4 linked regions of the Tamandua tetradactyla genome follow. The protein of the gene in region 3 purifies or fractionates together with the protein of the main gene of each other region. This does not show direct contact. Links are inferred from orthologs where the notes say so. Each region holds a gene or a part of one and is shown on either strand. Other genes may lie near its edges.

Region 1 (7,533 bases), on a different chromosome or scaffold from region 3:
TGTGAACAGTACCATTCACAAGACTGGTACTACAAAGGAATTCCATGTTCCCATTTTAGGCTTGGATCTGGATAACAGGGAATTGAACAATTAAGAGGAAGCCAAGGAAATTTCCACAAATGAGACTGCCCCTTTGTAGAACTAAATCAACAAAAACTTACCACTTCAAATGTCCCTGGAGCCACAATCAAATTGTCAATCACATTGTTTATTTTTGTCACCAGAGAAAGGATAGACGCCTGAAAAACAGCATGAGACAAAACTCCCTAAGGTGAAAAATTACAAGCAATTTCTCAGAATTTGAATATTTTCTCATAATCCTTTCCATACAAGCTTAATACCAACACAGGCTTTAAAAACATTTTGACCCTTCTGGCCTTGAATATGCCAGAAAAGAACATTTTTTATCACATAGATGAGATCCTCCAATAAAAACCTGAATGCCTAATAATCTGTTAATATACTCAGCTGGCTCTCGGTCTCTACCCACAAGAAGAAGTAAGAATAATAAGAAATAAGAATAAGAATAAGCTTTCTGAGCTTAGTCTCTGAAAACACTATTTACTCTTAACCTCATCTGAGATTATTCACTTTTCTGACCACTACAGAAATCTCAGGAAGGAAACCAAAATAGCATACCTGTTCAGCAGAATTGGGAGCAAGGTCTTGATTCCTCTTCAGCAAGGCCTCACTGAAAGAGGTTTCATCAGGTGCTGGCTTGACCCGGGGGAAGGCCATTTCACACTGAACAAGAATTAAACTATTTAATACTACAAACATAATATTTACTCAAAATAATATACAGGAATAAGTACTTTGTACTGTTGCTACAATAATATATACAATAGAACAGCCATAATTTAAGGTCACGACTTTCACATTAACAGATGAATCAGATATTCTTATTTGAAATAAAAAGTTCAATCATATTACTGTCAACAGTAGCCAAGAAATTATCTCTTCACCCTGCTTACACTGTCTTTGTATGCAACGCAACACAGCTAACTCAAAGCCCCAACTTTATTAACAAGTCCTTGTTCCTATTCCAACTACCACTTAACTTCAATAACTGGGAAATGCTAAACTCCATTTCTATGTTAAGGTAAACAGTGGCCAGGAAAGTCATACTAACCCCAGATACTCACCAAATAGAAATCAAATGGAATATGTGGCACAAAGGGCCTAAACCTAAAACAAGGAAAACAGTCCAAATTATGCACCACATAGAAATCAAATGAGATGTTTGGCACAAACAGCCTTAACCTAGAAACAGAATTAAACAATGTTTTTATGTTCTCTCTTCCAAAACTTTGGTTTTCTAGCATCTCTTGGAGACTAACATCAAGAGAGAGAAATCTTTTTAGCATTCAGATATTCAGGTTCCTGAACAGATAAAACTTTTAACTGAGAAATAAAACGACTGCTCAAAGTTGAAAGTTCTACCTTACAATTGCTAATACTGCATCGAACCTTTCACCCAACCAATGACACCTAATTAACAGGTTCCATATACTCTACAAATTGGAGTTTTGAAAACATTTGTGTCTTGAGAATCAGGGTCAGTCCCCTGGGGGATGATCCTTCTTAGCAAAATCAACATTTAGCAGGACAGCACCAGAAGAGATGTTAAATCACAGCTACACCTAACATAACATTAGTCCACTCCAAATTCCTACTTAAATGATTAAGAGAAACCAACCAGTGCAGAGGTGCTAAAAACTGGCACTCACCCTCCTCCTGGGCCTCCTCTGGAACCAAAACGCCCACCACGACCACGGCCTCTGTCACCCCTAGAAATGTATGAAAGGTTTTTTTAAAACTCTTAAAAGTTTTTTTAAAAAGAGATTACAAAGTCATTTGAAAATAGCCAGACATCACCATTTATTTATATTAAATAAATGTAAAACTAAGTAAAATTTCCCCTTTTATTCCCCATAAATGTTTCGTTCCCCATAAACGTGTGGGCTGTATTCTTTCTGGTGTTTTTCATGGTGTTTTCACATACAAACACACAAAATATGCAAACATATATATTCCTTTTCAAGATTCAGAGCAAGTCATACTATGTACTTATCTGAATTGCTTTTTTTCAGTTAATACAGCATGTACTCCTTTCTGTGTACAGAGTGATCTCATTCCAGAGTGATCTCATTCTTTTTGATAGTCGTGTAGTAGTCCATTAAATTAATGTAGTATCATTTAAATCAATTTCTTGATATAGAAAGTTGGGAGGTTTTTTTCTTTTTACCTCACTGTAGCAACTCCACTATACCCACCACATCATTTCGAATTAGCCTCCCTTCATCGCTCTGAACCTTCGGGAGCCTAGTGACAGTATTTCGATCACACTTCTCCTCATTATGGATAATTTAATCATAACCTCAATTAATAACGGGACCCAGATACTTAACACCTAGAGCCCCTACCGTAATACCTGGGAGATGTGCCAATCCTAACATTTCCGAGATTAAAGTGAGTGCTCATTTATCTACTAAGGCATTTAAAAATGTAGTGATCATAGCCTACACGTGAAGCAACTGGCAGTGAGGATGAATGGGGCACGATCCAGCCGTCTCAGCCCAGAAGCGGGGAGGGTCCGGCAGGGATCCGCGGACACCCCCTATCCAGAGACAGCGGCCTCGAACCCGCCTCCCGCGCCCGGGCCCCACCCCCGTCCCAGGCCCGCGTTCCCCCGCCCCAGCCGGCCTCCGACCCCTCCTCCGCTACCAGGCCGGGAGTTCTCAGGTTTTAGGCCAATCCCCAATCCTCCTCCGACTCCTTTCGGCCCACCTTCCCAACATTTTCAGTCGAATATCCAAAATCCTCATACAGCGCCCCGGTCCCCTTACCTCATGGCGCCCTAAATCCCGAACAATGGAGGCCGCGCCAACCGCCCCTCTCCTCTGAGGAGCGGACAACTGGAGAAGCAGCTTGCCGGTGTCTCCCAACAAAACCCGGCGCTATTGGCTCCCGCCTTATCCCGCCGCTTTTGTCTATTGGTTCTATAAACCAATAGACATAAGCAAAGAACCAATAAAAGACGCCTGCTGTGTCGGGAACCAGCCAGTAAGAACAGGCTCGACAGCAATGGCGGCAGTTCCTTCTTCAAGAACTAGGTAGCGCTCTTTGGAGGAACTGAACACCTCGAACGCCACCAATTGTAAATACTTTCTATATGACCTTTACAAGCCCTGAACACCAGGTAGCAGAGTGGCGCAGCGGAAGCGTGCTGGGCCCATAACCCAGAGGTCGATGGATCGAAACCATCCTCTGCTATCTGGTTCTTTTATTTCCCTCCTTATAGAGAAAGGTGATACGTATGATTTCAATTTTTTTAATAGATGTGAACGCCATCTTTTCAGTTTTTTCTTCCCTTATAAATGCAGCCTTTCAAAGATTTTTCTGGCACTGGCGAATGAAGTGTACTGAGGAAGGGTCCTTAGGAAGCGATTAATACATCACACTTCTGTGTAGTTCAGCAACTTGAGGCAGAAAGGGAGACATTGTATTGATTTGCATTTAAATCAATCATTTTACTATGTGCTGGCTGTTATCCCTCCTGTTAATTTTCCCCCTTCTTGCCTTCTTTGTCATGGGAGATATAATGTTTATTATTTTCCCCCCTCTGTTAATGGGAAGTTATGCACTCTTTTCTTTTTTCTACCCTTTTAGTGTCTACCCTAAAAATTACAACACGCATCTCTGACTTCAGAAAGTCCTCCTGAAAAAATACAAGAATAACTTAATTCCATTTACCACCTTCATTCCCCTCAGAATTAAGTACTGTGTTGTGTAATGTTTTACATACTTTATTGATGTATAATTTACCTACATTAAAATGCACAGATCTTAGCAGTATAGCTAGTTAATGTTGAGTAATGTTTTAAATCTATGTAACCACTACCCAGATTAAGATAAAGAACATTTTCATCACCCTAGAAAGTTACCTCATACCCCTTTGCCCTGTCCTTAGAGGGAATCACTATTCCTATTTCTGTTTTCATATATTAGGTTTGTCTGTTCCTGGGCTTAGAAAGAGAGAGACCACATCTGAGCAACAAAAGAGGTCCTCCGGCTAAAGGGAGAGTTTATTTGGTATAAAATTTACATTTTGGGTAGTGCATTTCCTGATTTACCTTTTATGGTCAGTTTAGTTGATACCATAAGTACCATAAGATCCCATAAGAGAATCTTGAATAGGGCATGAGATCTTGTTGGGTAGTCCAGGTTAGTGTGATGTCCCGATAAATCCCAGAGTGATTTGGACAGTGAATAAAGAAGTATTTGTGAAGTCCCCTTAGGGAGTGGGAAAGAAGGGGAAAAGATTCAACTTTCCAATTTGGAGAATTTCTGATATTCTCACAAGCAGTGGGGACAACTAAATCAATAGGCCAAGCCCCAATCTTGGGGTTCACCCCTGTGAAACTTATTCCTGTAAAGGATAGGCCAGCCTACTTAAAATTAGGCCTAAGAGAACCTCTTTGTTGATCAGATATGCCTCTCTCTAAGCGACATGGCAAGGGACCCCACTGCCCTCCTCTTCTACGTGGGTCATGACTCCCAGGGGTGTGAATCTTCCTGGCAATGTGGGACAGAAATCCCAGGATAAGCCGGGACCTGGCATCAAGGTATTCAGAAAACCTTTTTGACCAAAAGGGGGAAGAGAGAAACGAGAAAAAGTGTCAGTGGCTGAGATATTTCAGACAGAGTTGAGAGGTTATCCTGGAGGTTATTCCTTTTTTTAAAAGTTTTATTAATAAAACCAATCAACATACAATATGAACATTCTTTTTTCCTCATCACATAGTTGTATATTCATCATCATGATCATTTCTTAGAACATTTGCATCAATTCAGAAAAAGAAATAAAAAGAAAACAGAAAAGAAATTCATACATACCATACCCCTTACCCCTCCCTTTCACTGATCACTAGCATTTCAATCTACTAAATTTATTTTAACATTTGTTCCCCCTATTATTTATTTATTCTTAATCCATACATTTTACTCATCTGTCCATAAGGTAGATAAAAGAAGTATCAGACACAAGGTTTTCACAATCACACAGTCACATTGTGAAAGCTATATCATTATACAACCATCTTTAAGAAACATGGTTACTGGAACACAGCTCTACATTTACATTTTCAGGCAGTTCCCTCCAGCCTCTCTGTTACACCTTAATTAAAAAGGTGATATCTACTTAATGCATAAGAATAACCTCCAGGATAACCTCTCGACTCTGGTATCTCTCAGCCATTGACACTTTATTTTGTCTCATTTCTCTTCTCCCCCTTTCGGTCGAGTAGGTTTTCTCAATCCCTTGGTGCCGAGTCCCAGCTCATTCTAGGATTTCTGTGCCACGTTGCCAGGAAGGTCCACACCCCTGGGAGTCATGTCCCACGTAGAGAGGGGGAGGGCGGTGAGTTTGCTTGTTGTGTTGGCTGAGAGAGAGAGGCCACATCTGAGCAACAAAAGAGGTTCTCTTGGGGGTGATTCTTAGGCTCAATTTTAAGTGGCTTAGCTTATCCTTTACAGGGTTAAGTAAATAAACTTTCATATAAACAAATCCCAAGATTGGGGGCTCAGCCTATTGCTTTGGTTGTCCCCGCTGCTTGTGAGAATATCAAGAATTTCCCACTTGTGACACAGACTGTGCAACAGGACTGGATACAAAAACTCAGAAATGGACAGCACAATACTACCTAACTGTAATATAATTATATTAAAACACTGAATGAAGCTGCATGTGAGAATGATAGAGGGAGGAGGGCTGGGAACATAAATGAAATCAGAAAGAAAGATAGATGTTAAAGATTGAGATGGTATAATCTAGGAATGCCTAGAGTGTGAAATGTACAATGTACAATTTTAAAAATGTTTTTGCATGAGGAAGAACAAAGGAATGTCATTATTGTAGGGTACTGAAAATAGATGGTAATTAATATTTTTAAATGTCACCTTCTGTCTGAGACTAAAGCAAAAAATGTTTACTTGTTACAAAATTTATATTTTGACTAGTGCATTTCCTAATATAACTTATGTAAATAGTTTGATTGAACGCCATAAGTACTTGGAATCTCAGATAGGACATGAGATTTTGCTGGTTTGTCCAGAGTGATGCCCCGATGAATCCCAGAGTGATTCGATCAGTGAGTGGAAAAGTATCTGCAAAGCCCCCTGCGGGGAGTGGTGAGAACGGGGAGAAATTCAGCTTCCCCAAGTTGAATTCTTGATATTCTCACAAGCAGTGTGGACAACCAAAGCTATAGGCTGAGCCCCCAGTCTTGGGGTTTGTTCATATGAAACTTAACCCCACAAAGGATAGGTCAAGTCTACTTAAAATTTAGGCCTAAGAGCATCAGACACAAGGTTTTCACAATCACACAGTCACACTGTGAAAGCTACATCATTATACAATCATCTTCAAGAAACAAATGGCTACTGGAACACAGCTCTACATTTTCAGGCAGTTCCCTCCAGCCTCTCCATTACATCTTGAATAACAAGATGATATCTCCTTGATGCATAAGAGTAACCTCCAGGATAACCTCTGGACTCTGGAATCTCTCAGCCATTGACACTTTGTCTCATTTCCCTCTTCCCCCTTTTGGTCGAGAAGGTTTTCTCAATCCCTTGATGCTAAATCTCAGCTCACCAAGAGAGCCTGTTTTGTTGTTCAGATGTGGCCTCTCTCTCCAGCCAACACAACGAGCAGTCTCACCACCCTACCCCTCTCTACATGGGTCATAACTCCCAAGGGTATGGACCTTCCTGGCAACGTGGGACAGAGATCTTGGAATGAACGGAGACTCAGCATCAAGGGATTGAGAAAAACCCTAGAATGAGCTGAGACTTAGCATCAAGGGATTGAGAAAACCTTCTCGACCAAAAGGGGGAAGAGGGAAATGAGACAAAGTGTCAATGGCTGAGAGATTCCAAACAGAGTCGAGAGGTTATCCTGGAGGTTACTCTTATGCATCAAGGAGATATCATCTTGTTATTCAAGATGTAATGGAGAGGCTGGAGGGAACTGCCTGAAAATGTAGAGCTGTGTTCCAGTAGCCATTTGTTTCTTGAAGATGATTGTATAATGATGTAGCTTTCACAGTGTGACTGTGTGATTGTGAAAACCTTGTGTCTGATGCTCCTTTTATCTACCTTGTCAACAAAGGAGTAGAACATATGGAATAAAAATAAATGATAGGGGGAACAAATGCTAAAATAAATTTAGTTTGAAATGCTAGTGATCAATGAAAGCGAGGGGTAAGGGGTATGGTAGGTATAATCTTTTTTTTTCTTTCCTGTGTTTATTTTATTTCTTTTTCTATTGTCTTTTTATTTCTTTTTCTGAATTAATGCAAATGTTCTAAGAAATGATGATATGCAACTAAGTGATGATATTGTGAATTACTGATTATGCATGTTGTTTTATTTTGTTTCTTTACTTCTTTTAATTAATAAATAAATTTTAAAAAAAACAATTCCCCACTTGGGGAGGTTGAATTTTCCCCCTTTCTTACCATTCCCCTA
Region 2 (7,250 bases), on a different chromosome or scaffold from region 3:
ACCAGTTGATTGTGACAATCTAGTTTTTTTCATCATAGAATGAATGTCTTAGAATAAATAGGGAAAACATATGTGGATTTCAAATATAACCATAGTTTTGGTAAAAGTTTTAAATTCTTTTTTTGGAATCTAAATCTAAGTTTGGAACTTAGTGGCTCCAAATCCAGTCATTTAATTTAAATAAAGTCAAGCGTACTGTTTTAAAAACTATATTATACTTTTTGTTTTACATTATGTTATGGTCTTTGACTTTTAATTCTTAAAGATGAAGTAAAAGATTATCATATCCTACATGTCACTCAACATCCATTTCCTTCTTTTGTAACAGAACCCTGGATAGTGTGCCCAGCTGAAAAGCTATTTGCAACCTCCCCTAAAGCTGGGTATGTCATGTAACTAAATTCTGGCCCACAAGTGGAAGTGCTGTAGGAGAGATCTAAACAGGATCATTCTTTTCTTACTCCTGCAATGTAGCCAAGATCACTAGTTCTCCAGCAGTCACCTTGGTCCATGGGGTGACCTTAAGAATGGAAGCCTTGAAACAGAGGAGTTAGGATTTAATGAATGATTATGAATACTGAATCATTATATATTCTTTTTTCTTTCTGGTATATTAGAGTAGATGGAGAGGAAATACCTGAAATCTCTGAACTATGATCCACTGCCCCGATCTCTGATAATGATTGTAGAAGTCCTTACTTGTGCCTTTGTGATTGTGAAAGCTGGTACTTCCTTTACCCAGTTTTCTCCTTAAGAAATCTGTAAAGGCAAATGCCCTAATACTAATGGAGGAATTTGAACCAGCTCAAAACCCACCATTAACTGGTTCTAGTTTCACTCCATTATATTTGTAAATTGTTTCTGCCTATAGCTGTTATTGAGATGATAACTTTCTTTCTCCCTTTTTGCTAATACCTGCCATTGAAATTGTAATGACTTCATCTCCCCATCTTAGAGTCCATAAAAACTTTGAATACCCAGACTCCAGGAGACAGATTTTGGGCCCATAGGCCATCTGCTCTCCTGCTTCACTCCTAGCAATAAATTATTTCTCTCTTTGAAACTCTGAAGTTTCAGGATTTGGTCATTTGCACACATCAGGCAGCAAATCCACCACCTTTGTCCAGGAACAGCCTTGCTTTAGGAAGGTAAAAGACTAAGATAGAAGGAACCTGTGGAAATGCTTCATGAGCTCTGGGCTGCTTTCATCTGGACTTCTTAGAGAGAAGTATAACTTCTATTTTGTTTAAGATGCTATTATTTCCAGTCTCTGTTACTAGCAGCGGAATATAATTCCTATTTGATCTACCCATTGAATTATTAATTGAAAATATTTGGACTTTTAGCATTAAATTTCTAGATATGAGCTCTTTCTCTGTGCCTCTCTGTCTCTGTCTCTCACACATAAACCACTCCAATCTGTAAGAAAGAAAACTAAGGGTATGTGAAGGTGTGGCAGTAACACATTTTCTGCGGTTGCAAGGGCTAATGCTTTTATAGTGGGAACTGTGGTAAGATAAAAACTACAGCATTACTCAAGAATTTTTAAGCAGGTACATGTGGAATAAAAAAATACAGTAAAGCAGAGGAAGGGAAGGTAATATAGAAATGAAATGTAATAGAATGTTAATAGCTCATTTTTTCTTTATTTTTTGCAAAGTTAGTTAAGGTAAGTGTAATAATGATAGCAAGAGAGGAAGGAAAGATCATAGTACAGGACAATGGAGATAGAACGATAAGGATGAATCTTTTTTTCTCTTCAGAAAATTCTAACCTTTTAAGATCCAGCTCTTCTATGATGCCCTCACCTATCCCTAATAGGGATTAACCTTTGTCCTTTTTATGCATCTAACAGGCTATGACTGGGATATAGCCAGTGAGGTGTTTGGCTCAAGTACCAAATATAAAGAGGCACCAACAAACTCAGTCATCAAGATAAATATTTTAATGAAAGATTTTACAAAATCAAATTGGCACACTGGGACAGGTGGGCTAGTCTCTAGTTTTAATTATATCTGACATTTTATCTCTAGTACAGTATTCAAATAGTACTTTGTATACAATTTCTTTCCCAATAGGCCTGTACTCATTTTTGTATCCCCTGTGCTCCTACTTGCCTGTTTTAAGCAAGGGTATTAGTCAGGGTTCTCCAGGGAAACAAATGACAAGTTTCATGCATGTAAATATTATGAGATTTCTTATAGGGCTTGGCTCCTGTGACCATGGGGATTGACCAGTACATCAATTCCATAGCGTAGACCACAAGTGGGATCTCCAAAGAAACGGTCTCAATGAATTCCCTAGGAGAAGGTGCTGACTGAAGTAGAAACAGATTTCTGAAATCATCACTTCTCCCTTTTAGGCCTTCAAGTGATTGGATGAGACTTCTCTCATTCTGATATAATCTTTATTGATTATAGATCTAACCAGTCATAGATGCAATCAGCAGACAAATGATTTAAATCCATGAAATACTCTCGTAGTAACAATCAGACTAGTGCTTGCTTGAGTAAACAATTGAACACCATAATCTAGCCAGGCTAACTCAGGAACTTAACCATCATGGCCTCTTAATAAACATTCAGTTGAATCTCTTGAAGGGCTTTGCAAGAATATACTGTTCTAGGGGCTGTGGGGTTAAGTGTTTCATCATTAAATTCAACCTTAACAAACGAATAACAGACAGCGAGGAATGTTTTGAAAGTACTTATAATCCAGTATTACGGGAAAATCATCTGGCTTCTCTTCGACTAAAACCTTTGCCACCTTGGAGAGCTAGGGAATTCTAAACCTTTGCATTCGTATACTACTTTGCCCTATATAATGTTCTTTCATTTAATCCTCACCTTAATTCAGCAAGGTACATTTTATTATCCTTATTTATTGTGGAGGGATTGAGAAGTTAAATGATTTGCCCAAGAAATTATGGGCAGCAAGTGTCAGAGCTGGGAGTCTAGTCCAGGTTTTCTGTCTCAAATTCTAATGCCCTTTCTGACACTCCAAATGCTATGTCTCAAGGTTGATTAATTAAGGAGAAACAATTAATGCAGCGACCACAATAGTATTTGTAGTATCTACAAAACAGAATATAGGCAAAACCTTAATAGCAGTATTTTAGCAAATGTACTCTTCATGATTAAAACAGTTCTGATTTTTATAAGTCTGATGAAATAGCTTACTTCAGGAACAGGACTAGATGGTTTATGGTATTTTGTGATAGACAGCAGAAGACTACACAATGAAATGCCAAAGAACATGGGAAATTGAGGAAATCATTTATTTACTATTCGAGTGTTAGTTTCTAATTACAACTTTACCACTAATGTGTGTATAATATTCTGCAAGGCACATAAATTATTGGCTTGCTTCTTCAAGAAACATTTAAAAGGTCATTGAACTCTTGAGCTGAAAAAGATTATTTCAATGTGAAATATTATTATAGTTCTAAAGAGTTAGAAGTTGATTAAGTTTAATGGGTTTCTTTTTCATACTTAGGGGGAAAAATCTATGATTATACTTTAAAACTTCACACAGTAATTAAACTTGAGAACCTATAACTGTTTCAAATATAATTTCCATCAGCATATAATAAACACATAAAACCCAAAATGCCCATTATTAGTCAATCTAGTAGAAGATTTCTTATGAAAATTATAGATTCCACCCATTGATTGCTGCCCAGAGTATTAAAAAAATTTCATTCTTTTTATAGACCGTTAGCTGAATTCTAAGAAAAGCCTCATTCTCACGAACAAGGTGATCTCAAAGAAATACAAAGCCATTTACTCTGCTGAATTGCAATAGTCATCAGTAACTCTTCAATATCCACAGGGTGCCTAGACATTTGAATCAGAAGTGGTGATTTATTTGAATCATATAAAGGATTTTTAAGGGAAGTCTGAAGAGGTACAGATGTCTTAAAGACAAAGTGGAATGTGCTTCTCTTACTTAATGTGCTTCTCTTACTGGGTTTCAGAGCTTCAGAGGTTTCCAACCCCCAAAACACACTTTGAAACTGAAGACCCCACTGGGGGCCAAGCGACCGGCAGGCTGGTGGTCGGAACATGATCCCAAAAGAGGTCTCAGGACAGGTCAAGCCTTCCCTGGGCCGGGTCAGGGCCGAACGCAGCAACTGCGGCACACACCTTCCAGCCCCCACCGTTCCCCTCCCCCATTCACTCCCACCCTCCACACAGGCTCACACCATATCCCCGTCGCCCAGCCCCGACAGGTTCTCGCGAGATCCGGGCAGCTGAGCGCTCGGGGCCTGTTCAAATCGGGATCCGTTACCGCTTCTCCGGCTGCCGCCATTGTCGCCCTCGGAGCCCCTCAGCAAAGGCGGTGGAGGTAGCGGCGGCGGGATGGCGGACGCCGAGAAGCTCGAGGTTCTTGGGGCCGCTGGCGACGACAGCCCGCTTCAGCAGCCAGCGGAGCCTCCTGGCGAGCCGCGGCGAGGACCGCACCCGCCGGAGCCGGAGAAGCAGCAACACCACAGCAGCAGTTCCAATGGCGTTAAAATGTATTGTCTTTTCCTTCCGGGGACTGGGGCGAGTGTAGGGCGGGGAGTCGGCCTGGAAGGCCGGGCTGGGCCTCGGTGGGACCCTACGCCCTCCTCAGGCCCTGGACCGCTCTCGGCCGTCGGCGGCGGGAGGAGCAGGTGCAGCAGCGCCGCTCCCAGGCCCTTCCCTGGCGACCCGGGCACCGCCGCCTGCGAGCTGGGGAGGGGAGGGGGGGTTGGGGGGCCGGCGCACTCCCTCCCACCCCACCCTCGATTAATAACCCCATTTCCCAGACTTCGTTTGATGAACCTTTGAGCAAAGCTCGGCGGCCGCCGCGGTTTGCGGGAAAATAGTCCCCTTTTTAAAGGGCAATAGTTAGTGTTCATCACTAGGGAGTATCTAGGGATGACATCATCGGACATTTCCTCTTATCCACTGACAACGTATTTAGAAGGAATATACCCCTCCCCCATCTTCCCAGCCTCATTCTGAGCTTTATGAGTTCAGTGTTTTGTGTTTTCTTTCTAAAGTATATATTCGTTTTTGTGATTTATAGTCACTGAAAGAAGTTTAATAATGCACCAATAGAATGGACCCGTCATTGTTATCTTTGAATTGGCTAGAGGTATTTTTGAAAAGAAAATCTATGTTGTGCATTGCTTTTTCTTCCTTTTTTTTTTTTCTCTCCTAATGTTTGTCAGCGGTGCAGGCTGTTGTAAAAACTCTTTGTGTGTCTCGTCTGCCATGCTGAAAAATCGAACCCGGGTTCGATTCCCGGTGCCTCCTCACGCAAAAAAACAAAAAACAAAAAACAAAACCCCTCATTGTGTGACGTTAGATTCTTAATTTTGGTGTAGTGGTAAAATAAAACCACTACTTTTAAGGTGGCAACTCCGTTATTGGCTATAAAGAATTTAGATGACTCGAATCCATGGTAATTTCTAGTTGTAAGCATTCGTTATGAAAATTGTTTCTCTTTGTTCTTATCGTGTGGGAGACACGAAGCCAAGCATTTATTTTCATATTCCCAGCCCTTTTAACCTGTAGTTGAAAGTTACATTAATAATTTAGTGAAGTCATCCTTTTCCTTCTCTTTATCCCTCAGAATAGAAAGCAGTAAACGAAATGTCTTTCTGACGTTTCTCTCGTATAAAAATGTTTGAAACTTTATCTTAAGACCTGGACAAATTGTTGTAAGGGAAGTTGATTGCAAATGAGATGGGGTAGCTCTCCCGAGCCGGGTGATGACACTCTTGTTCTCAAGTGGGTTAGAGTGGGATAGTATCTTCTAGGCAGAATATTGTTGTGGGTATAAGTGATTGGATCTCTGGAATTTGTTTGTAGATGGAAACACCTTAGAAAACGAGGAACCAGAAATGAGTGAAGCACTTTTCCACAATGTCTGTCAAAATGTGGGCTTTCAGAAATTTGATATAAGTAGGAATAAAAAATAATGGAATAATCTTAAAATATCTTTTAGTTTATATCTAAACATGAATATGCCATTCCTTTTCTTCTGATAACATTAACAGAAGTTACAGTCTTGAATTACAGAAGCCCCACTGTATTTGGATATGGGCAGCATAATAGTGTCAGTACAGGTGAAACTAGTTACCTAAACCTCCAGCAAATCTGAACATCTCCTAATCAATTTTGATGTCCTATTGTGGTTTAACCAGACAGGAAAAATAGATAGGAAAAGAATCTTTGCCACATCTAATTGAGGAAGAAAATGTAAGGTGAAGAAATTAAATGCTGTAAACAAGCACGTACTTTTAATATTACTTTAGTTCATCCCTCTCCTTTTCTTAAAAGTTGAATAAAGAGGCCAATTTACTATCAGGAGTTTCTTGTACTGTCCCAAAGGAACATATGCTGAGTCCTCAATGGGTCACCCAAACTAGGTAACTAGGGACATTACATGTATCTTAAACACTCTTTAGACTCTATCAACCAGTAGGGTTAGTTAACCCAACACATAAATCTTAAGTTGATTATCATGTTTTTAATAAGAATTTATATATAATGATAAAAGTGACCAATTATTGCCTTAAAATATATGTAATTTAGAAGTGAACAGAATGCCGCTTGTCATCAGTACTGAAATGACTTTGAGGTTATTCCTTTGTCGGACAGAGATCACCATATCTTATCTTTGTATCCCTAAGACCTAACATTTAAAAAAGGGACAATAAAATTTTTTGAAGAAATAAAGTGGGGACCTTTTATGATCATGAAATTTGTTCAGGGGATATAGTTGGCACCTTGACATCTTTGGATGAGAAATTCAAGATCTTTTTCCTGAGGTCTAGTTTTTTTCTTTACACCAAAGCAGTATAATAGCTCCCCTTTTCTTTAAAATGAGTAGGAGGAAAACCAGTAATATTGTTACTGTTCATATATGATTAAGTAACATCTTGGAGTATATGAAGATTAAGAGTTATATTAGGGCACTAATATAAACTATTAAAATAGTATTGGCTCAAGGTGAAGTGTTTGCCAGTAGAGTAGTAATTTTATCACATTAGGAAAACAGAAATGGGATTGAGCTTAATTTTGGAAATGGCCTTATACAATATAGCATTATACTTTAAAACTATGCTTCTTCATTTGATGTTGGATTTTGATTTTTTCAGAAATTTGTTATAATTTGAGAAGACATAATTCAGTCTTAAGAGTAGATAACATTTTGTGACTATTCTAGAGTTTATTTTTGTATGTTTAGAGGGAATGTACTTGAATGAGTATTTA
Region 3 (6,389 bases):
GCAGCTAAGACTTTTTGACGAGGGCTTATAGTAGAATAAAATCAAATCAGGATACCCCAGGCACTATTCATTTTATCCCTAATTACTAATCTTGCAGCAAAAGTGTGTAGATTTTTACTGTCCATGGAAGGGAAATGTTACCCTGTCTTTAAGTGCTTTCAATTTTCACAAATTGTGCCCACAGCAACATTTTAAGTTCTCAGAGGATGAAGCACCCTGTGTTATTTTGATACTCTAGTAGTCGATGGTGTATTATCAGTTCTGTAGCTGTCTGTTATGAATCTAACAGTTCTGCTTCTGTTGTCTGTTGTCATTGTCACAGTTACTATCATATTTAGGGGCCAGTAGTGGTGCTGGGTTGAAATAGAGTGGCCAGTGATCTAATTTTTAAAATGCATATGTTCTAAAAATCTAATGAGAAAATTGTTTCTATTATCACCACCTTCTTTAATCTTATTTTCATAGCACATTATTATGCATAAACGCCAGCCACAGTTAGTTTATTGCCTTGATAAGTTCAGCAAGCTTAATTAAAATAAAGCTGTAAATAAGTGCAACCAATGATAACACAATTGTAATGTATTTCCATAGCTTATTTATATGATAAAAGCAATTAACAAAGGACCTAGCCAGCCCCTTTCACCTCTTAAATGCATTATGAGAGAGTTCAGACAGCAGCACATGCATCTGAAATTCTTATAAAAGCTTTTTTTTATATATTATCCCAAGGAAAACTATGTGCTGCTTACTATGGGGTGGGGGGTGGAGGTGATTATTTGAAGATTCTGCAACCATCTGGTATTAATATTTATTTTAAAACATATACACTACCATTATTCACACCAACCCCTTATCTTTTTCTTCAAACTTAATTACCCATAAGCTTTGATTCGTTTTTGGAATAATGCTATTAAGCTCAGACCAAAGCATACACAATCATAAAGTGAATGCTTGTTCTGCCCTTCGTTGCGTCTGGACAATCATAATTCATTCATATGTTGAATCTCATAATTTGTACCTATTTTTTCCCATGGTTTAACCTCCCACTTATCTCGAGGTTATATGTTCATTTCTGCTAAGCAAATTAAATCTGATTCTTATGATTTGGTTCCAAGGCTTATATGATTTGTTAGCGTTTCTTTTGTTTAGATTACATGTAATTAGTTTAATCTTCCTCCCACCCCCCTCATTTTTTCCCTTTAATTATTTCTAAACACTTTCTTTTTAAGGTAAAAGCAATAGTCTTAGCGAAACGATGCACCAGTAGGGGGCGCACCAGCCACGCCTCTGAAACCAGGCGCGGTGTGAAGCCCGGCCGAGCCTTCTCCCAGCTCCTTCCGAGCTGTTCCTTCCCTATTTTCTTTCCTAATAATCGAAGCTAATATCACACTTCGATTAAACAGAAACATTATTTGGAAGCGTATCATATTATTTATGCATTCCGAAAAGCTCGGTCTCACCTTCCTGGGCTCCCAAGACCTAAAACAAGCCACAATTTAAGAGAAAAGTGAGAGCCCACGGGGCGTGGCGTGGGGGGGAGGAGATCGGTGGGAAATCCTTTAGGAAGAGTCTGCAGGATTCTTTTTAGGAACTTTTCTGGATTTCCCGTAGTCACACACAGCCTGAATTGAACAAGCCCAGAAAAGTCAAGGAGGGCAGGGATTGGGGAGCGCTTGTGTGAAGAGGGCTGGCAAGGAGCAAAACAGTGCACGGTTCTGTAAAGCAATATACGGAGCGTGGTCGGTGGATAACAGTACATTTTCTTAGGGCGAGTAAGGGTAGGTCAGAGGAAGAGGGGGCGGAAAGAGAGTTACAGAAGAAAGAGAATAAGTAATCCTGATGGTTTAAGCCTTTTTTAAAAAAAGAAATGGCATCAGGTTTTTCTTTTTCTTTTTCTTCTTCTTCTCTTTCCCCTCCCCCTTTGTAGTCAAGTGCATTTTAGCCACAAAGATCCCAACAAGAGAGTGGAAGGAAACTTAGACGGGGCTTTGTTTGACTCCGTGTAGCGACAACAAGAGAAACAAAACTACCTATTTGTAACGGACGTGCTGCCGTTGCTCGCGGCATTGAGCGCCTACCTATTGAAATCTTTAGGTCGGGACAATGGGAGTGCGGCTAAAATTACCATCTTGGGTCTCGGGCGGGCCGGATTCCTGAGCCCCTACCCCGCCCCCAGCCCGGCCAGCCCCGCCCCGCTGGGCCCCCTCCGCCAAGCCGGCCTCCTCCCCCTCCGTGGGCCTGCACCTGTGCCTGTGCTTAGCGGGCCCGGGGCGCCCGGCTCCCGAGGATGCGGCCACCGCGGTAGATGGCTGCGGGGGACATGCCAGAGCTGTTCCTGCCCGAGCACTAGGAGCTATCTCTGCGCAGGAGGGAGTCTGTGAGTGTGGCCCGAGTGCCACCTCCGTGCTGTGCAGTGGGCGCCAGCAAGTGAAACTTACTCTCCCCATTCCCGCACTTTCGAGCCATCGCTCTGTCTCCTCCTTCCCCCAGCCCCTTTTGAAACTGAAATCCTTTGGGGGCGGCTCGGGAGGAAAATGGGGAGAGGGGACGAGAGTCTGTGCGTCCCCTTCGCAACAACCGCGTGGAGGACTGGAGGGGAGGGGGCCCGCGGCTGGAGCAGAAGGGAAGGCTGGGGATTCCTGGTTCCACGCACTGCGTGGGGCCGTGAAGAAGGTGGAGGCGGCCGCCCGCCAAGGCCCTGCCGGTCCTCAGCTCCAGGGTCGGCCTCAAGGCCCGAGCGGGATTTATTTTTCAGAATAAGAGAAAGCAATGTAGAAGCAAAAAGGGTTTGAGGACAGAGCTTTCAGTCTGGTAACTTCTTGTCGGGACAGTGTGAGGTGGGGCCGAGGGAGTGCGGGCACTCGGCGAAGAAGAAAGGAGAAGGGAAGAGCGTGGTGAGGGAGGGCAGTGCTGGGGAAGGGGGTGGGGGGGGAGCTGGGGGGGAGAGTGCGGCGAACGAGCGGGAGAACAATGACAGAACAACTCTTGCATTGCCTGTTTCCTGAAATACTAGTTGGACAGTTGCCCTGAACCACCCACTCCGCCCTGCCCCACCCCCACCCCTTCGCTGCTTCCCGTGCCCCCTCCTCATTTCAGCACCCCGTACGAAAAAGTAAATCAATATTAAGTTTAAAGAAAAAAGAAGAAGAAAAAAAATCGTGTCTTAGTGCTGTTTACCCACTTCCTTCGAAAAGGCGTGTGGTGTGACCTGTTGCTGCGAGAGGGGATACAAAGGTTTCTCAGTGGTTGGCTGCCGGGCTGTGGGAGCCGCCTCCCCCTCCCCGTCCCTCGCCCTCCCCCCTCCCTCGCCCTCCCCCGCGCGGCCCCGCCCCCTTTCATGCAAAACCCGGCGGCGGGGCCCGGCGCGAGTGGAGGAGCCGCGACGCGCTGATTGGCCGCTGGAAACCCATTTATTCCCTGACAGCCCCCGTCACATGGACGGTTGTCTATTAACTTGTTCAAAAAAGTATCAGGAGTTGTCAAGGCGGAGAAGAGAGTGTTTGCAAAGGGGGGAAAGTAGTTCGCTGCCTCTTTAAGACTAAGACTGGGAGAGAAGCGGAGCGAGAGGAGGGGAGAGCAGTGGGCGCCCCGGCCTGGGCCTCCCCCCGGAGCGGCAGCCGGCGGCGGCGGGAGCAGTCCGAGGCGGGCGGAGCGCGGCTTCCATCCCGGACTGCGGCCGGCCTAGCTGTTGCCCCGGCCGGCCCGGCGCCCGCGCTCCACGCCGAGCCCCGCGCTCCGCCGCCCCCGCCCGCCTCCCCGTCGCCTCCGCCCCCGCCCGCGCGCCCCCCGGAGTCCCGGCCGCGCCGAGGGTCGGCGCCTGGCGGGCCGGGCCCGCGCGCAGCGCCCGCATGTACAACATGATGGAGACGGAGCTGAAGCCGCCCGGCCCGCAGCCGGCCTCGGGGGGCGGCGGCGGCAACGCCACGGCGGCGGCGGCCGGCGGCAACCAGAAGAACAGCCCCGACCGCGTCAAGCGGCCCATGAACGCCTTCATGGTGTGGTCCCGCGGGCAGCGGCGCAAGATGGCTCAGGAGAACCCCAAGATGCACAACTCGGAGATCAGCAAGCGCCTGGGCGCCGAGTGGAAGCTGCTGTCCGAGACGGAGAAGCGACCGTTCATCGACGAGGCCAAGCGACTGCGAGCGCTGCACATGAAGGAGCACCCGGATTACAAGTACCGGCCGCGGCGGAAAACCAAGACGCTTATGAAGAAGGATAAGTACACGCTGCCCGGCGGGCTGCTGGCTCCGGGCGGCAACAGCATGGCCAGCGGGGTCGGGGTGGGCGCCGGCCTGGGCGCGGGCGTGAGCCAGCGCATGGACAGCTACGCGCACATGAACGGCTGGAGCAACGGCAGCTACGGCATGATGCAGGAGCAGCTGGGCTACGCTCAGCACCCGGGCCTCAACGCGCACGGCGCGGCGCAGATGCAGCCCATGCACCGCTACGACGTGAGCGCGCTGCAGTACAACTCCATGACCAGCTCGCAGACCTACATGAACGGCTCGCCCACCTACAGCATGTCCTACTCGCAGCAGGGCACCCCCGGCATGGCGCTCGGCTCCATGGGCTCGGTGGTCAAGTCCGAGGCCAGCTCCAGCCCCCCCGTGGTGACCTCTTCCTCGCACTCCAGGGCGCCCTGCCAGGCCGGGGACCTCCGGGACATGATCAGCATGTACCTCCCTGGCGCCGAGGTGCCCGAGCCCGCTGCCCCCAGCAGACTGCACATGTCCCAGCACTACCAGAGCGGCCCGGTGCCCGGGACGGCTATTAACGGCACACTGCCCCTCTCGCACATGTGAGACGGGCCGGACCGCGGACCGGAGAGGGAGAAGGGAGGGGTGCAAAAGAGGAGAAAAAGAAACGGCCTGGAGAAAAACCCAGTACGCTAAAACAAATAAAGTGAAAAAAGAACATCCCATCGCCCGCAGCAAACGACAACTGCAAAAGAGAACCCCAATCCCATCCACACTCATGCAAAAACAGGATGCCGAGAAGAAAACTTTTATGAGAGATCCTGGACTTCTTTTGGGGGGACTATTTTTGTACAGAGAAAGCCGGAGGGTGGGGAGGTGGGGAGGGGGGAATGGACCTTGTATAGATCTGGAGGAAAGAAAACTACGCAAAACTTTTCAAAAGTTCTAGTAGTACGGTAGGAGCTTTGCAGAAAGTTTGCAAAAGTCTTTACCAATAATATTTAGAGCTAGTCTCCAAGCGACGAAAAAAATGTTTTAATATTTGCGAGCAACTTTTGTACAGTATTTATCAAGATAAACATGGCAATCAAAATGTCCATTGTTTATAAGCTGAGAATTTGCCAATATTTTTCAAGGAGAGTCTTCTTGCTGAATTTTTATTCTGCAGCTGAAATTTAGGACAGTTGCAAACGTGGAAAGAAGAAAATTATTCAGATTTGGACATTTTAATTGTTTAAAAATTGTACAAAAGGAAAACAAATTAGGATAAGTACTGGCAAAAATATCTCCATGGTCTTTTAAAAGGGCAAAAGTTTTAGATGTACTAAATTTTTTTAACTTACTGTTAAAAGCCAAATGGCCATGCAGGTTGACATTGTCGGTAATTTATAATAGCTTTTGTTTCCCAACTTTCCATTTTGTTCAGATAAAGACAATATGAAATTACTGTGTTTGAAATATTTTCTTATGGTTTGTAATATTTCTGTAAATTTATTGTGATATTTTGAGGCTTTCCCCCCTTTATTTTCCGTAGTTGTATTTTAAAGATTCGGCTCTGTATTATTTGAATCAGTTTGCCGATAATCCTTGTATATATTTGAACTAATGCCACCCTGATAACAGGTACATTTTCAACTTAAGTTTTTACTCCATTATGCACAGTTTGAGATAAATAAATTTTTGAAATATGGACACTGAAATTATGCTTTGAGTCTTTTATTTATTTGGATAATGCTGGTTATTAAAGCATAACTCCTTTGGGGATTATAATACTGTGCTCAGCCAAGAAAGCAAAATAGCAAAATCCTTGGTATTTCTCCTCTGCAGCGTGTGCTAGCAAAGTTAGCTGCAACAAATAAGTGGCTGGAAGATTAATTAAATAAGTACTCTTTAAAAATGGAGATACTTATGTCGTTTCTAAAATAGAAACTACAGATATATGTCGTAAGTCCACCCCCTCCTTTTGGAAGCAGCGTGAATAGGCATGATGGGGACTCATGCTTAAACTGTTTTATGCCACTTGTTGCCAGAAAGGAGTCAATTCTGAAAATTTTCAACTTGCTTAGCAGATGGGGTATTGAGCCAAATCAGAACCAGGTCGGCGGGTTTTGTTTTCTTTTTCACAGCACAATAGGCCCTTTTGGAAAGCTGGGTATAGAGGGAAATGATACTTCTTGTATAAGAATAATTGCA
Region 4 (6,974 bases), on a different chromosome or scaffold from region 3:
GGACATAAAGTTATGAAAATTGAAATTTACATATATACAAAAGAAATAATATAATGCATGTGATAATTAGTCTCACAATTTGTACCTAAGACACACTCAACTTGAAAATAAATGGGAAAGGAGCCACATTAGCGTCTACTCCTAGTCTTTAAAAAGAGGATTAATAACTTATTAGTTCTCCACAACAGTTAAAGAGTTGAAGCTACCAGGAACAAGGCACAGTGCTGAAAGATTTATGCTCAAGGGTACCTAAAATTAAAAAACTGGGTGGGGAACACAAACCAGTTAACTTTTTAGTCATAACAGATTTCTCTGAAGATGTGAGCTGACAGCACAAGGATGTGTACAATTAAAAACGAAAAGGAATAGGGGATGGGGGAGTATAGAGTGCAACTGCATTTTCCACTACTTTCTGCGATAGCATTGAGGATAAACAACCAGAATTTAGCTCCAGAAAATTATGATTATTGAAGCAGATCAAAATAAAAGTACTATTTTCTTAGAAAGACTGTATAAACAGAAATACTACAGGAGATTCTGTGACATTTGCTCAAGTTTACAGTTTTAAAAAAGCAGGTCTATTCAAAGATTTTGATAATAATTGGCCACAATTTTTGGTAACTGGTAGATTTACATAAACTTGGCTCCTAAATTTAGGGTATTAGTGTCTATGTCAACATCCAACATCCTTCCCAACTGTTAAATAAGAGGGCTAAGATGAAGCTTCATGATTTTTGACAAAAACAAAAAATGGGGATAATAGAGCCAGTAACTTGACTTTTATGGATTTACAGATGCCATTTGATAGTAGGTCTACCCATATGTTTTCAGGCTTCACTTTTTCCTACACCGGCTAATTCCATTCTCTGCATTTACTTATCATGTAAGGGAACTTTGAGCTCTAAATTAATTTAATCTGAGTTTCATGAATAGTTTAGAGAGGATGAAGAATAATTTGATAAAGTAAACTCTGAATCACTAGGACAGAAACAAAACAACTTCCACATAAAAGGTGTACAATTTCAGGGTCCATGGGTAGAAGAGAGGGCTCCTGAATATTACCTGCACACTAGTATTCATTAATCTTCAGAAAATATCAGGACTTTTAAAAAGAGTTTCAAACACAGATAATGTTCAAACATAAGTATGTGACAGTGAGCAAGGCTTGTGGAAACCTTTGGTAGAAATTTACCAATAAAAAAATTTTAAAAACAACATTTATGCTCATCATTTGAGTAGCATTGAGTTCTTTTTACTTTTCGCAAAATGCAACAGAGAATCCATTTGACTTGCAATTATTTAATGCATTTAGCCTAAAAACATGAAATATACACAGGCACCTTTAATGAGTGGCAAGAAAATGCTAAAATTTTAATAGTTTGGTTTCCAGTATAGGATAAATCTGAAAAGTAATTTTACAATGCTGAAATCAGAACCGATATTTGTCAGGACCTTTTTCGGTATTGTAAAAAAAGTCTTTTGTTATTTCTTTCCTAGATGACAGAGGTCACAAGAGGCCAGACTTAATCTAGACAGCTCAAACTACGAATGCAGTTAACGCTTCTCAAACAGATCAATTACTGTAACAAAATTAATTTTAACTGTAGACATTTTTAAAGCAGCAAAATGGTCCAATCTTCAAGACTGAGAACAGTAACAGATTTCTCTTAACACGTGCCCGAAATATTCTAACTAGAAGGCAAACCAACGAGGTTTTAGGCATCATATCTTTTTTTGTATTATTAATTCCTACAGTTTTCAGCGTTAAGATTGTTACCCATGGCAGGACCTAGAACCCGAGGTGGTGGCGCGTGTAAGCAGCATTCCTTTTTAAATCTTCAGTACAAGCCCGGCAAACGATAAACGTGACGAGCCTGATTCACATCTTCCTGGCCCCTCCATCCCTCCTTTACGAAGATGGTTGTAATTCTGGCGGGACCTGGGGAGGAATACCGTGGTTCTGGGAGGACAGCCAGAGTGCATGGGTGTGTGAACGCTGCAGGAGCGGGTAGCAGGACTTGATCACTTAGGGGGAAAGAAGGATGATGCCTCTTAGGGCGGGAAGGTATTGCAAGAAGTAGCTGTTAGCACGACCTGCGCCGGCACGCGGGGAAGATGGTGGTGGCCGCAGGGCAGGGCAATCAGAGAGGAGTCCCTGTTATGGGGCACTTGTGGCCGCCTGCGATGAATGATTCGAGAGCAACGAAAGGGTTGCGACAATGAACCCGGGAATTCCCGACGCAAAGGGGAAAAAAAGGGCGCCGAAAAACAGGGTTATTATGGGATGGCGGAGGGGGGCTTCCTAGGGAAAATTATGGAATCTTCCTCACCCGCCAGTTGCTGTACAATCTCTTCACTCGCCGATAATACGCGTCTTTGTCCAGAGTCACAGCCATAGCCCCACACACCGCTCCTCCTCGGATCCGAGAATCACGCGAGGTCCCGGCTCCGCCACCCGCTGTCGGCCCCGGAATCCCGCACTCCCCCAGTGACCCGGAAGTAACGAGCTCAGAGGTCCTTTTCCGCTTCCGGGTCCCCACAGAGTTAGGGGTTTTATTGTTTTAAGTTCTTCTTCTAGAGGTTGGGAGGAGGAAGTAAAAAAAAGAAGTGGGGAAATCAATAAAATGTGCAACGCAAACAAAAAGTCTACATTTTCGCGGGGATTTCTTCTCAACTCAGTCCCACACGAGTTACGTCATCACGGACGCTTTGTCCCCGCCCTTACTCTCAGTCTGGCGGCGGTTTCCAGGAGCTCCGAATTTCACCTCGGCGGCGACTGCTGGAAGAGACGTGCTTACGCCGCCCCACACAAGCTGCCGCGCGCGGGCGTAATGGCCACACCCCATCTGCAAAGGAGGGGTGAAGAGCGGATTCTGGCGTGGGATGGAGGGGGAAGACTGCAGCGTTAAGTGGGTACGTTCCTCTCTTGGAAATGGTGGTTAAGTTAAAGCCGCTGCTACCGCAGGACTGGAAAGATCCTCGGTGCAAGGAGGCTGGGTCGGGCCCCGCTCGGGTACACAGCTCAATCTAGGAAGACAAGCCCGCCCTTCTGATAATCTACAACCTAAACTGTGGAGGGGAGGAAAATTAAGTGCCCGGGCTTCATTTGAGCGCTCGGATGGCAATAGGAGGCCGTGGGAAACAGCTTGAAGGGCGTCTCAAATTTTTATCTGTTCCCTTGCATTACTCCCTCATCCCACTACTCCCTCTCCCTCCCCCAACCCCAAGTTTTCTCAATCAGGCAGTCCTTTGCTACAAAGTTATGAAAAGTGATACCAGTGTCTTCCTCCAAGGCACCATTATTTCAGTTAATTCGGAACGAAGGGTACGTAGGTCTTGAAATTCATTCTTGTCTCCTCTTAGAACTGAGTTTGAATCTGGAACAATATTTTCGGCTACAATTTACTTTCAACCATCCTCTGCTTTTAGCAAGCTATATGTACGATATTCGTATATACCCATTAAAGAAATACAGATGACTGATCTGACCTGAGTTAATGTATTGGAAACAGTATTGGAACTTTGGGAAAGTGGCGTTGAAATCACGGACCACGAACGTCTTTTTATATTGGGTTTGAGCAAATATAGAACAAGGGAAGAGTGGAAAAGGATTAACTTAAATTTATTAATGCCAAGGGGAGGAAAGGTAACAGTTCCTGACCCTCCAGCTGTATCCACAGTTCGGTCAGGAACAGGCTCTGCCAGAGGCTAGAGCCAGTGCTACATAGTCTGTGGTTAACAGAGGTGTCTAGGGAGGGGTGAGTGCACCAGCAGCTCTAGTCTCCGTTTCTTCCCCAGAAATGAGGAAGTGGTCATGTATTATTTTAGGAGTTCCCCTGCCCACCCAATCCTCTCAAATTTGGGAGTAATCAGGTACAAGCTTTTTCTTTCTTTCCCCCCTTTCCACCTCCTGGAGTCCTGGGTTTCCCCACATCTCCCCTGTCCCGCCCACTTTTCCAGAGTCCAAGGGCCAGAGTAAATGAAAGTATAGCAGCCACCCACGCAATGGGGACATGCTGTGGCTTCACTCATCAGCTTCTTCGCTGGAGTCTGAATTGGCTGGCATCATAGGATCATCAATGAGTGAGAAGTCCCTTTCTGAGCTATCATAGCCCTGAGATAAATCATCATCTTCCTCATCCTCATCATCGTCGTCCTCAGGTTGCAGCGGTGGCAACCGCAAAGCAGTGCCAGAGGTGGTAGTCGCTGGTGATGAAGGGTAGCCGGTAGCTCTCAGGCCTGGATGGTGATGGTGGTGATGGTGGGGGTGAGGGTGGTGGTGGTGGTGGTGGTGATGAAGCATGGTGCTGGAGTCTACATGAGGGGATGATGCGGCACCGCCCATCACAAACGGCATAAAAGGCAAAGGCGCAGAAGTGGCACTGCTGTGACCCAGAGATGAAACAGACTGCAGGCTACTACTGCTGTGTTGGAAGCTGTTATGCAAAGACAGGGACCCAGTGCTTCCACCCTGCATCAGGGCCATCATCTTAGAAAGGTCTGGTCGCATCCTACGGGCCCGTTTTTTGCTGGTCTCTGGTGTGATGGGCCCTGGTAAAACCCGGTTGAACACAGTTTCGGTGTGGTGACCCTGCGAGGAGAGAACAGAGGAAAAGAGTTAAAAAAAGGGGGGAGGAGGAGGCAGGGAAGGGAGGGGATGATGCCACAGTGAAAGTCAAAAGAGTTCTAACATGCAAATGATTTTTCACTGAATCTTTCTTTAGGTGGGGCAAAACAAGTATAGTCAGACCAGGCTTGATGGTGGTAATGGGGAAAAGGAAATGCTGGATTCAGATGAATGTTTTGCTGCCAAAGCTAATATCAAGGATTTCATATTGATATTTGTATAAACCAAAGAATTTTTACTTTTTGCCTTGATTACATTGTAACTTTATTCCACCCGTATCTCACATATTTGTTGATAAGGGGACTGGGTAAGATGGTGAATGGATAAGTATATGCAGAGAAAGTAATTCACTCAAGTGTATAATGATGGCATGTTCACATCTTCATATCATGTGAATTGTAGCACAACTGTATTGACATTTACAATATTAACCTCCATTATCACATCAGAGCAGAATAAATTCAAGACAAATCAGACTTCTTAATGTTAAGAATACCAAAAAGGTTGTGAGTAGCTCCTAACCAAATCTAATAGAAAATGTGTTTTCCCATTGATAAAAACTTATATATTTTCTGAATTTTAAACTGCTTTTTCTAGAGGTTCTAATGGCAAACTGTGGTTAGGTTCATTGAAGCCTCTTCTTTGCAAAATACTCAGTACACTGGCATTAAACTCAAGGCAATTGGTAACTGTGTCTCTGGAATTTCTCAATTTAAGCCATACACCTAATATGCGAATATACCTTTTTGACTTGGAAAAACAAATATCTCAATACTCCTATTTGTGTGGACTTTTTTTTTTCCTGACCATAAGAGCATCTAAACTTCTGCAGATGCCAGTAATAATGCAGTGCTAGATTCACTATCAATTTTGCATTAGGAATTCTATATTAGTCATATTATGATTTCCTGTGATCTTTTATTTCTTAAAATTATCAACTGAGTAGAAGGGAAAAGGCAAAAGTGTTGAGATAAAATGAGGTAAATTGGAGAAAAAACCTTTTTTATAAGCTTTCTACAATGTTAGTTAAATAAAAGACAGATATGGCCCCAGCCTTCTAGTCATCAGCCTTCTGTATCAACCCTTCTGCTTATTACTCTTTTGTTCCCTTGGTGGCTGAGAGAGAAAATTTAAAAGTTCTTCCTTGGTAATATTATTTATATGAAATGCACTTTCACCAATATAAAAATGAAAAATGAGCCTCATAAATATATCTCACAAATAAGTATATTATATGCAAAAGAATGTTCTTGGAATTTTTAAAATATAAAAGATATATATTGTTTATTTGGAACTTGATTTTGATAAAAGATATACCATACAGTTAAAAATATGCATATATAAAATTTACATAAAACATCAAATGCAAAATTAATATACAGAAGTGCTAATCCATTTTAAATGACTGTTTACTCAAACCAGAAATACAACTATAACACAAAGTAAGGCAAGATGTGAAAAATAAACTTCTGTAATTATACTTCTGGAGAAAGAAAAAGAAACAATGGATCCACCAAATAGCTACAATCAAGATAAAAGGATAGTGCATTTAAAAATAAAGGGGGTGGTTCAGTGGCAGAATTCTCGCCTGCCATGCTGGAGACCTGGGTTCAATTCCCAGAGCTTGCCCATGCCAAAACAAAAAAAACTAAATAAATAAATAAAGGGGGACTGTGCCAAACATTAGAGACAATTAAATCAATAGGCCAAGCCCTTGATCTTGAGGCTTGCTGTTGTGAAGCTTATATATGTAGCAGAGAAGCTTAGCCTACCTATAGGACTACTTAAGAATTACCTCCAGAGGACCTCTTTTGTTGCTCAGATGTGGCCTCTCTCTCTCTTAAGTCCAACTCTGCAAGTGAAATCATTGCCATCCCCATTAGGTGGGACATGACATCCAGGGATGACAGTCTCCCTGGTGGCATGGGAGATGACTCCCAGGGACGAACCTGGCCCTGGCACCATGGGATCAACAATACTATCCTGACCAAAAGGGGGAAAAGAAGTGTAACTAACAAAGTATCACCGTCTGAGAGAGTTCAAATAGAGTTGAGAGGCTCCACTGGTGGTCACTCTTAGGCATGCTTCAGTTAGACATTGCTATTTATCATAATTTGCCAAATCCAACCAAAACCATTCTTGTCAATCCTAAGGAATATCTAGGGCATTATAAAAGATTCTATAAAGGTTCCATGCACTAGGGTAACTTTCCAAAACCTGCAACCTCCAGATGGACCAGTCAAGTCCTGAAATGCAGAGGGGCCAACCTTTCCAGAACATCAACTAGTTCCATCCCCCTACCCCATATTATCAATAACCCCTTCCAACATGTAAAAGTTAGAATGGG

The links.
Region 1: the proteins of SOX2 (region 3) and ILF2 purify together in Homo sapiens (affinity purification with mass spectrometry; 3 studies listed by BioGRID and IntAct, with this or other methods). This does not show direct contact. The link is inferred for Tamandua tetradactyla from reciprocal best matches to the Homo sapiens genes SOX2 and ILF2.
Region 2: the proteins of SOX2 (region 3) and MYEF2 purify together in Homo sapiens (affinity purification with mass spectrometry; 3 studies listed by BioGRID and IntAct, with this or other methods). This does not show direct contact. The link is inferred for Tamandua tetradactyla from reciprocal best matches to the Homo sapiens genes SOX2 and MYEF2.
Region 4: the proteins of SOX2 (region 3) and SUPT16H purify together in Homo sapiens (affinity purification with mass spectrometry; 3 studies listed by BioGRID and IntAct, with this or other methods). This does not show direct contact. The link is inferred for Tamandua tetradactyla from reciprocal best matches to the Homo sapiens genes SOX2 and SUPT16H.

What each region holds. Positions count from the first base shown.
Region 1 is NC_135330.1:6,483,791-6,491,323, forward strand, and holds the start of ILF2 (interleukin enhancer-binding factor 2), read right to left. Parts: upstream 3,002-7,533; 5' UTR 2,855-3,001; coding exon 2,850-2,854; intron 1,791-2,849; coding exon 1,731-1,790; intron 1,189-1,730; coding exon 1,146-1,188; intron 745-1,145; coding exon 640-744; intron 240-639; coding exon 162-239; intron 1-161. UniProt on the Homo sapiens protein: Chromatin-interacting protein that forms a stable heterodimer with interleukin enhancer-binding factor 3/ILF3 and plays a role in several biological processes including transcription, innate immunity or cell growth.
Region 2 is NC_135340.1:62,463,213-62,470,462, reverse strand, and holds the start of MYEF2 (myelin expression factor 2), read left to right. Parts: upstream 1-4,240; 5' UTR 4,241-4,361; coding exon 4,362-4,519; intron 4,520-7,250. UniProt on the Homo sapiens protein: Transcriptional repressor of the myelin basic protein gene (MBP). Binds to the proximal MB1 element 5'-TTGTCC-3' of the MBP promoter. Its binding to MB1 and function are inhibited by PURA.
Region 3 is NC_135331.1:80,244,919-80,251,307, forward strand, and holds SOX2 (transcription factor SOX-2), read left to right. Parts: upstream 1-3,848; coding exon 3,849-4,802; 3' UTR 4,803-5,888; downstream 5,889-6,389. UniProt on the Homo sapiens protein: Transcription factor that forms a trimeric complex with OCT4 on DNA and controls the expression of a number of genes involved in embryonic development such as YES1, FGF4, UTF1 and ZFP206. Binds to the proximal enhancer region of NANOG.
Region 4 is NC_135340.1:35,076,163-35,083,136, reverse strand, and holds the start of SUPT16H (FACT complex subunit SPT16), read right to left. Parts: upstream 3,024-6,974; 5' UTR 2,726-3,023; exon of another isoform or gene 2,575-2,725; 5' UTR 2,397-2,574; coding exon 2,331-2,396; intron 1-2,330. Other genes in the region: CHD8 (chromodomain-helicase-DNA-binding protein 8), read right to left, coding at 4,025-4,591. UniProt on the Homo sapiens protein: Component of the FACT complex, a general chromatin factor that acts to reorganize nucleosomes. The FACT complex is involved in multiple processes that require DNA as a template such as mRNA elongation, DNA replication and DNA repair.